Coturnix japonica: one gene and its partner. The protein of the gene in region 1 interacts with the protein of each later gene in a biochemical or structural test. Links are inferred from orthologs where the notes say so. Each region holds a gene or a part of one and is shown in the gene's direction. Other genes may lie near its edges.

Region 1 (5,215 bases):
AATAGCCTTAAAAGCTCTGATTCACCTGAGGTAGCTTGGGGGCAAGAGTTGAGACCTGCCTTGTTGTTGACTGTGAAGTTGGTGGATGGGATGTAATGGTGCAGTGTTTCTACTGAGGAGTCCAGAGGAATTCTCTGCTTACATTTTGCTTGGGGATAAACCTTAGGAGCTGCTCTTTGAGTTCATCAGGCTCCTGTGGAGGTTGGATCAGTGACTGTATCTGGGAGCACTTCTCTCTTCATTTACCTATGTGGAAAGTGTTCGACAGGTTTTCTATCAAATCCAGCAGTAGGTACCAGGTGACTTGAATGGGAGCCACAGGCTCTGAGGTATCTCTAAATAAAGCTGGTATTTCTACAGCTGACAGTTTTAGGGTTAACAAAAAGCTTTGCCAATCCTTTCTTTACACTTTCCTGTCATTTTTTTATGTTAATAAAGAACTGCTCTTACTGCAGTCGATGCAGTAGTTCAGGAATACATTGGTTTGCTAACTAAATAATAGTCATGAGGTCTACAGTTTCTTTCCCTTTATGTTTATTATCCTGTAATTATCCCAGATTTCAGGTCAAAATACTTGCTTTGATTGTGCATTTGCTCATCTTTCAAGTCCTTTGGTACATCTAGCAATATGTGGGGAGGAAGGGGGGGATGAGGAATAGAAATCTATGCGTAGCTATTTTTCTGAAGGTGTATTCTTGTGTATTTCTTTGCTCTTTAATACATCAGGGTACTACAGAGCTCTTTGTAGGCAAAGGAGGAATTCCTAGTTCTTGCTTTAATGTACAACCAGGGCTCAGCAGTGTTTCATATATTTGCAAGATTTAACAATTCAACTCCACAGCTCAGCACAAATCTGCCCTACTACTTAATGTTCCCTCCTCTTGTGATAGCACAAATGACAGCTCGGTATATTTGAGCAGCGAATTGGTTCTGCTGAAAATAAACTTGACAAATCATACGGTTAACTGTTAGCTAAATCTGCTCCCTGATTCATCTTACTGTATTGTGGGATAAGATCTGATCCTGATAGAAGGAAGGGAACAGTAGGTGGCCAATAAGGTAGTGAGATTGCTGCTGTATTCCAGTCAAAAAAAGGAGCAATAATTTTGTTTTCCCAGTGATGATTTTTGCACCCGTTTTCAAAATGATGCTGTAAAGATGTTTTGTTTCCCGTTGGTACTAGAGTTGTGTGTTGTGCAGGGTAATCCATGCAGCAGATGCACAATGGCTGCCTTTGCCAAAGCTGTCACTTCTGTCAGGGCAGTTCACTTGATCTGCTGGGTAAGCATGACGTGTAGGGATACAGGAGAGACATCAGAATCAGAGGGCCTTTGGGTTTTCTTGTTCGCGGCAAGTTAGCAGCAGCAAAGTTGCTGCAAGTGTTAGAGGTCCTCTTCTCTCTTCCCTCTGATTCCTTGAATGGAGCTGGGAAGCGTTAAGACCTTTGTATGATGTCAGTGCTGATCATAGAGCAGTTAACCTTCCAAGGAAACCAGATGTCCTCATGAGTGCTGTACTGTCTGGTGCTGTGTTCCTCATCCAAGGCGTGTTTGGGTGATATCAGCTCGTTCTGACCAGTGCTTCAAGTTTAATTTCTGCATCTGTACTCCTTTGAATGTCTCTCAGTGCCTTTTGTTGCCTTACATCTTAGCAGATCTCAAAAGCTCAGTGTGCTTGGGTGGAGGATGCTGCTAATGGGCTCCGGGTGCTGTAGTCCTCTTGCAGCTACCTCTGTGTTTTATTACTTGAAGTGGAGCTTTGTCTGCCCAAGGCTGTTGACCTCATAGGTGAGCCCAGCCTTATTCACATGGGGAATGATGTTAGCACTTCTGTGCCAGTAATTGCATTCTGTAGACTTCTGAATTACCACACAGACAGGATCAGTATTAAGAACAGCTCTATTCTTTCCTTTAAAAGCATTATGTGGGAAATGAGATTTGTACCTGTTGCTTTCGATGGTGAAATTCACTTACCTTTGACATAATTGTATAATATACATTTTGTAACTAATAGCTGAATTAGAAGTGAGTGTATAGGAAATAAATTCATCTGATACGAGCACTCTAATAATGATAAATCTGGGTGATGTGTTTCATGGGCATTAATGAGGGCTAATAACTTGGAAGTAAATGAAGATAGCTCATCTTTTATTTATTTATTTATTTTAACTTTTTCTCTAGAACCATAGAGCAGACCCAGAAGAATTATTCACAAAACTGGAACGCATTGGGAAAGGCTCCTTTGGTGAAGTCTTTAAAGGAATTGATAATCGGACGCAGCAAGTGGTTGCTATAAAAATCATAGACCTCGAGGAAGCAGAAGATGAAATAGAAGATATACAGCAAGAGATAACTGTTTTAAGTCAGTGTGATAGTCCTTATGTAACGAAATACTATGGATCATATTTAAAGGTAATGTATCTTACTGCACAAACATTTACTAGCAATGTGTCAGCCCATTTTGAATGATGCACAGGGAAGTTCCTATAACTGAGAAAGTGTTATCACATCAACTTGACTTTCTGTTTTTCCCTTTGAATGGAGTTGCCTTTGTTCTGCATCTTTTGCTGCATGTTCCTTAAAGCTCAGATCTTCACAAAATGGCTACAAAAGGAGCGGAGTTGACAGAAGATTCCTATTGCTATTGAGCTTATAAAATTACATGGAGGAAGAGGTTTTCTCTTCTTTCTTCCCTCACAACTTCCAGTGAAATTTTGAGCCTTTTTGGAGGGGGAAAAATATGTTTTCATAGCTAGACTAACAAAAAAGAGAAACCCTCCTTTGATATGGAAGGAAACGCTGCACCGTGTGGAGATGTTTGTAGTTGTGTGTTATAGTAGGCCTGAAACAAAGTAGAACTGACAACAGTACAAAGTGGTTATGTAACTCTCGTGTTATCTAAGGCTTAAATTAAGAAACAAGCTTTAAAAAAAGGAAACATCAACACACACAACAATGCTCAGCCCTACAGAGATAAAAATTGGAAGTATATGAATGTATAGCACTGACAGAATAGTTGGATGTAACTTCCAGCTCCTGGTCTGGGTTTTCTGCTCTTTAAAAATTCCTGGCAAGCGCAGGAGTGTGTTAATTCTGCATTACTTTCCTTGTTTGGGTTCTTTCCATTTTTTAATGCATTCTGAAAGATTAATGCTGGTCCCCTGGTTTTTCTTGTCTACTATTTTGGGGGAAACATTTTTGGGTGATGTTTGTAGAGTTGTTTGTGAAATTTTGTTTATTTTCCCTTAAGAAACTTCCCTTAAAAAAATAAATCACAGGATTGTTTTTAATCCCATACTAGCATGGCAGTTAATTTTATTGCTTGCTCTTCCCTGCCTTAGACTAGATTCATCCTTGTTTGCTAGTACTGGTTCTTTCAGCTTGAGATTTCTCAGGTGGGAGAGTGTATTGGCTTTGGTAGAAGTGTCCAAATAATCTTTTATGCTGACTCTAATTTTGGTACTGACAAGCATTTCGAGAGTACTATCTGTCTATTCTTAAAAGTAAAAACTAAGGTTGCTGTAGCTTCTAACTTTCTATTAGCTGTAGTTCTGAGGATGGCTGTCAGCCTTAGTATGAAGCTGTTCAGTATTTTGTTCTGCATATTCTGTAGACTTCTTCTGGAAATGAAGTATGTACAGTTTTGTACAAAATGACTTAATAATTAAAGGTTAAAGAATGTTGAGGCTAGATCCTGAAACTTAAGGTCTGTTATTTCATAGAAAGCAGAGTCTTAGGCTGCTGAGTGCAATAGCAGTTCTTAGTGGATATGACTGGCACCAAGATTACATCAGGAGTGATCAAATAGGCTTGTTGGTTTTATACATAAAGATTATTGAAAATAGCTCCTAGAAATACTTTTCAAAGGTAGTGGCAAAAAGAGCATAAGTGTATTTCAGTATTTAAGAAGTAACCAACTTTATTGAACTTCAAATAAGCAGATGGTTACTGCCATCAAGTACCAGTCAGCTTCAGCTCTTCTCCTTTGTAAGAAAACACATTTGATAATTGAATGTTATGATGAAAACTTTAAACAACGTATGTTAACTGCAAGGATTCTGTAACTGTTCAGCCTTTCAGATGAGGTTGTTTTTCCCTCTGTATACAATTTATTTTAAATATTCTGGAGCTTTACATGGTTCTTAGTTTCTTGCATGTCAGGATGCAGAGCCAGTGTTGTTACTAACAGGAATGGAGCGGCCCAGTCCCAGTGGCCCTGTGACTTACCAGCAGCACTCAGGATCTTCCCAGTGATCCTCCTGCTAAGCAGAAACTGAACAGGAGGAGGAAAGAGTGTCTTTATCTCAATTACTTGACTTACTAATTTGTAACCTAGTCAGCTCAACTGATGCCATATGAGATACTCTTATATTCTGCAGCCTAGCTGCTCTTTAGCTACAGCTTGCATCTTTGACTTGTAAATGTGATTTTAAGAAATACAGACAGCCCCTAAGCATTTTTACTTAACAATGTAGTGTTATTTGTCTGTTAGTAGATATTTTAAAAACGTTATTGAGATAAGTTAGGGTCATCTTCCTTACCACTGAGATAAGACTGGTGCTAATTTTCCATTATCGTGACACAAAAAGGTGCAAAATTCCCAAATCACAAAGACATGGGGTACCTTTGTATCTTGAACTTTGGAGCTCAAATGGGAATTTACTGTTGAATAAATCTTAAAACTCAGCTAGTCTTAATAATTTTCTCCCTTAAATTTGGCTGTCTTGCAAGGCCCAAGCATTGGTAGGTGATGTATAAACATGTAGTCAAAGAATGTACCATTATGAATGTGTTTGTGTTGGGTAGTAAAGGTTTTGCCTTTTATTTAGTGTCTTTCACTGTTCTGTGTGGAGTTGTGCAAGTTTATACAGCTGTTCTGATGAGCTTGTGTAGATGCAAGATAACTTTAATCCTGATATAGATGTTTGTAGACATTCCTGTCTGTGGTAGGTGAGCATCTAAATTTGAGTTGTCACCCAGGATTGCACTTTGATTGCAGTGAACGTCATATCTCACAAAATAAAACATAGATTGTGGAAAGTACCCTTCAAAATGATACTGCATAGCAGTGTAAGGTATGCTAGAGTGCTAAAGTGTTGTCCTCAACTCTGTTGTGTCAGAATGTCAGTATTACTGCCTTATTAGCTTATCCAACAGAAAGATTAAAGTTACTGAGAGTTACTCCAGCTCTGGTATGTTCTGGTTATGCCAGTTTG
Region 2 (5,215 bases), on another chromosome or scaffold:
TGGCTTGTGATTTTGTTTGCAAATTTCCATCTCCTCCAGCTTTTTATAGTAATTTAGTATAAGAGTACTTGTAACACTTGAAAAGGTCTTAACCATTCTCTTTGTCCTGTGTTTAGTTCTTCAGTGAATATGAGAAGTTACTTCATTCAGAAAACTATGTGACAAAGAGACAGTCACTTAAGGTAATGATGCAGTTTTATGTTCTTCAGAGCAAAGTTAGAGAGTGCCTTTAATTTCAAATGAGTTGGCTAAATGAAACAACAAGTAACTGCTTTGGGTAATATTTGATTTGTATCTTGAGATCAGTTAATTTCCTATAGTCCAGTCCTGCCATAATTCAGTGTCTAGCACACACCAAGTCATTTCTTCCTCCATGCAGAAGTGACTCAATGGAAGAGTTTATTTCTGTTATTTTTTTTTTTCAGATTTTGTTTTTCCCCTTCAACAAATCTGACTAAATTATTTATGAACTGAAATTGATTAAATACATATGATTTATTTGTTAAATAATCTAAAAGAGGGGCTCACGTGATGTAATTAGTGCAGTACTAATTTAAGTTAGTCGGAAATACCGATTATAACTGTTGTATATGTGCCAATTTGTAGCAGAGGTTTTCACCTTTGTTTTGCATCCTCCCTGGATAAAATGGGTAGTGAAAGAAGTAGAAATATTTCTCATTTGGATTGCCAGCTCCCTTTTCTTACCAGACTCTTTAGGTTGATGTGAAGTATTTTTTCTTAACAGAAAAAATAATGAAGTTGTGGGGGGAAAAAAGCATCAAAAAGATTATGGTTTTTTTCTTAATTTCAGTTCCAATTCATAACAAAGGGAGAATAAAAGGAGATTTTGCAGTTCCCTGTTGAAAAAAGGCGTGTTTGAGTTCCAATCTTTCTGCTTTTACAGAGCAGTGTTGGTTACTCAGTGTGTTTGAAAGTACTTACGAACAGGTTCTGTCATCTCTTCTTTCACCTTTTCACTTCTAGCTTCTTGGTGAGTTATTATTGGACAGACACAACTTCACGATTATGACAAAATACATCAGTAAACCTGAAAATCTCAAACTAATGATGAACCTTCTACGAGACAAGAGTCGTAACATTCAGTTTGAGGCCTTTCACGTGTTTAAGGTAAATTTAAGAACAACCATATACACACACACAAATATACACAAACAAAATGAAAAGAAAGCTCCACTAAAACAGCAACCAAACAAAACCCACCAGGAGTTTGTTTAGTAAACTGCTTAGCTGAGCCTCAAATGAAGTGCAGCAGGATAAGGAGGAATCCATTGTTTTAGGGAAGCGTGAATTATCTTGGAGGTCTAAAGTGTTTTTGTCGTACTGTGTGACACTATAAAGAACAGCAATGTTTTGAGCAATTCAGCTGAATTTCAAAGCCTAATTGTTGTTTACGTGTTATAAAAAGGTCTGTTCTGACTTAGCAGCATACAGGCAAATAACGGAGAGCTTACAGTAACAGCTTGGAGTATAAAAGTTTTTAGTAAACTTGAATATACCCGTCTGATGTCATATGTAATATGGAATGATGTGTTTGCCACAGTTAAATTAACTGTGGAATGTCTGAACTGGCTTCTGCAGAGGGTACTGTGTCTAACAGCTCCCACAGCCTGAATTTACTGCAAATACTGGTGTTTGATTTATGTTCTGATTTAAAAAATTAAATCAGTTCTGGAATAAAACTTTGATTTACTTCCTTTTCTGTATACAATTTGGAATATTGAATAACTAAAATGTCATTTATGGTCATCCCTGTTTTGTTGGTTAGGTTTGTTTATTTATCTAGGCCTCCTGTTTCCCACTATTACACTGAATGCCTTTTATTGTCTTGCAGGTGTTTGTAGCCAACCCTAACAAGACGCAGCCTATATTAGACATCCTTCTAAAGAACCAGACCAAACTCATTGAGTTCCTCAGCAAGTTTCAGAATGACAGGACCGAGGACGAACAATTTAATGATGAGAAGACCTATTTAGTTAAACAGATCAGGGATTTGAAGAGACCAGCACAGCAAGAAGCTTAATCTCCAGTAAACCCCTATAATATTAAACCCAAATTCAGCAGTTGCTGTTAGATATTCAGCATCAGGCACTCTTATCGATTCATGAGGAACATTACTGCTAATCTGCTGTTCAGTGAACGGTTTTTGTTTTTCTTTTTTTCTTCCTTAGTCCAAGTTGAAAAACATAGCTGCTGCTTTCTTGCACAATGTGGACTTTCTTGATATTTGTGTCATTTCAGAATTCAAAGACACTGCTTGTTTTATGAGCCCTGAAAAGAAAGATTCTAGGTTCATGAACGCAAACATATAGATAATAGTTTGGTTTAGGAAAGAAGGTATTAATGTAGTTAAGTAAAAGGTTGCATGCTTGCAAATCTGAATAAATCTGTATGTTTGCACTTACCTTGTTTGAGATACGAGCACAACGTGACCTGTGCATACCTGGCACCATAGTATAAGATTACATGCCTTGATTAAAAAAAAATAAATAAATTGTGCAGTGCTTTATTTGTAATCAAAGGGGAAATGTATCTAAGATGTGAGCTTGTTGGGATAAACAGTTGTCTTGCAAATAAACTGATATTGAAACTTAGCAACTTTTAAAAGAGTGACATCTCAAGGTCCATAAGGAAAATGTATATATGCCTTTCACTGCTTTCTAGGTTTTTTGGACATGATTTGATTTTTCTGGGAATCGACTTGTAAACTTGGAAATATGTTCTAAGGGGTTTTGTTAATTTTGCTTTAAAGGTATTTCAGACAGTAGACCTAGCAGTGACATTTTGCGTTTCATTTCAACGATGCTTGCTGGTTTCTTTTGTATATAACTCCTAGGCTGCTCATTTCTTTAAAATATGATTTAATTTGTACAGCAGAGGAATGTTATTGTATTAGTCTGTAACTATTACCTAATATTGAGTTTTGCAAAATGAATGCTCATATGTAATTGAATACTTCAGATCACATGGAAATGCTGATTTAACGATCCTAAGTACTGCAGCATTAAAAGAAAAAAGCCACCAACAAATTCTCTGTACTCACCTAATGGGGTGCCATCAATTAGGCTAGGCTGACCTAGAGAACTGGAACCCTATCTACTAGAATCTTACCAGATAACATTGGCCTTACTCGATTAAACTAGTGTTGTGCTCACCAGATCTGCAGATGGCAAAATGTGATGCTAAATTAAGACGGATTCTTCTCACTTCTGGGGAGCCTGCAGTGCATCGTTCCTGTCTTACAATAGTTAACTCAGTATGTAGTTGTGTGAGTGAATGAACTGATTCCCTCTGACTTCAAGAACCATAATTATATAGATGTCCTAGAGTAACAAAATGATTTTCCTTTGTTGATTTTGTTCTTTAATGCTGCAAACTATCAGTATTTATAAAAACAAAAAAAACCAACTGATTTTGCACCATTTTTTTGTTACTGTGACCATACAAAAGGAATCTACTAAATATAGCTAAACGATGTTATTGAAGTTGTATTTATCCATCATATAGTAATGCTAAGATCACAACCTACCAAGCGTATGGATTGGAGTCTGAAAGTTCAAATTCTGCATGGCTGAATCTGATTGAGAATGCTATAGAAAATGTTTGTTGCTTCCTGTCCTCTTCCTAATTAAAATATTCCACAGTCAGCAAGATGAAACTCCTTAAGTGACATTTAAAGCCAGTTTGAAAGCCTTCACAAGGGAAGCTGGGTAGCTCCAGAAAATCGAGCCTTTTCACCCAGTAGTTTAAAATTGCTCTTAACATTTTAATTGGCCTTTTTCAGGTCCTGTAATGTCCTTTGCAAACGGGTTCGTTTTGCCTACTGGGAGGAAAAGAGCTGACTATTCCTGGGCATTGCTTACGTGAGCAGGCAGAATTGGCCACAGGATGGTATTGTAGTTCAGGACTAACAGGTTATTACTTGGTTTATCGTAGCTGAATGGAAGATGTTGTTTGCCAAGTTACCATAAGGCTTCCTCTTTAGAAAAGCATAGAAGTGTTATATATGCAAAGATGTGAAAACATTTGGACTGGGATGTAGGTTACTCTGTCTTAGGTCTTGGAAGTAATGGCTAAGGTAACTTCTTTAATACGTGATAACGTTTGAAAGTTGGCTTTCGGAAAGAACTTGTATGAAATTAAAGCTCATTTGACGTGCTTTTCGTATTGAAAAAGACCCAGCTGTTGTTGTGGAAGTGGTTTCTTATCTGCTGGAAGGCTGAAGGATATTACTACAACTTATTGAAATGTGAGCGGGTTTTGATTTTGTGCTTTTTTTTCTTTGTTTTTTTTTCTTTTCCTTCTTAAATAAGAGATGTACACAATTGTAATTCTACTTCCGTGGTAGCATTTCATTTCTCCTGAGGAAAATGCGTTTCTTATCCGAACAAAAAAAAGAAAATCTGGCTGGCCCCATAATTTAAATTGAAATAAAATTTTGAAGAAAAAGGTGTGCTTTGTGCTTTGCTGTGTTTCTGAAGGCGGCGCGTTTCTTCTGGCTCAGAACCTTTGTGCCTTTGTTGCCTCAGAGGTGTTTGATGTTCTCACCTTTACATATTACATCATTCTATATAATGAAAAGCTCTGGCTTATAAAAATCTTTCTGAGGGTCTGAGGTGCCGTATTGGAGATCTAATCAGTTTTCATTAATTATGAGAAGTCTTTTTTGCCTGTGCATTGTGTTATTTGCTGATATTTGCACGGGTTCGAATCCCCCCTGTGGCGCAAGTGGTAGAAGTGCCGCTCTGCTACACAGGAGACTCGAATCCTGGGGGCTGGACTCGATGATCTCTAAGGTCCCTTCCAACCCGCACAAGACTGTGATACTGTGATTTGCTGTTTCTGTTCCCTGGCCTTCTGTATGACCCAGGGCAGAGAGGAGATGCTGTGTCCTGTGTCATCTCCAGAGACAGGGCCTGACAGGATCAGCGGAGGTGAAGTCCTGGTCATTGTAGCCCTTCCTTCCAGATTTCAGGGGCAAAAGTGTGTGGGACTGACTGTCACTCTTTCCTTAGGAAATAACTCTGGTGTCTTTGCCATGGAAGCTGTCTGCCTCCGCTGCTGATGTGTTACAGAAGCTTGTTTCCTGCTGGGAACGTACCCATGTTACAGACAAAAATACTGGGTCAGTTACAGCCTACAGCAGTGGCTTCAACTTTGGAGCCTTTGTATAAAACTGCGGTATGTTTTCCCAATG

Evidence for each region.
Region 2: the proteins of STK26 (region 1) and CAB39 are reported together in a solved structure, tested with the Homo sapiens proteins (2 studies listed by IntAct, with this or other methods). The link is inferred for Coturnix japonica from reciprocal best matches to the Homo sapiens genes STK26 and CAB39.

What each region holds. Positions count from the first base shown.
Region 1 is NC_029519.1:3,352,998-3,358,212, forward strand, and holds part of STK26 (serine/threonine-protein kinase 26), read left to right. Parts: intron 1-2,180; coding exon 2,181-2,411; intron 2,412-5,215. UniProt on the Homo sapiens protein: Serine/threonine-protein kinase that acts as a mediator of cell growth. Modulates apoptosis. In association with STK24 negatively regulates Golgi reorientation in polarized cell migration upon RHO activation.
Region 2 is NC_029524.1:4,181,800-4,187,014, reverse strand, and holds the end of CAB39 (calcium-binding protein 39), read left to right. Parts: intron 1-116; coding exon 117-182; intron 183-984; coding exon 985-1,128; intron 1,129-1,852; coding exon 1,853-2,041; 3' UTR 2,042-4,469; downstream 4,470-5,215. UniProt on the Homo sapiens protein: Component of a complex that binds and activates STK11/LKB1. In the complex, required to stabilize the interaction between CAB39/MO25 (CAB39/MO25alpha or CAB39L/MO25beta) and STK11/LKB1.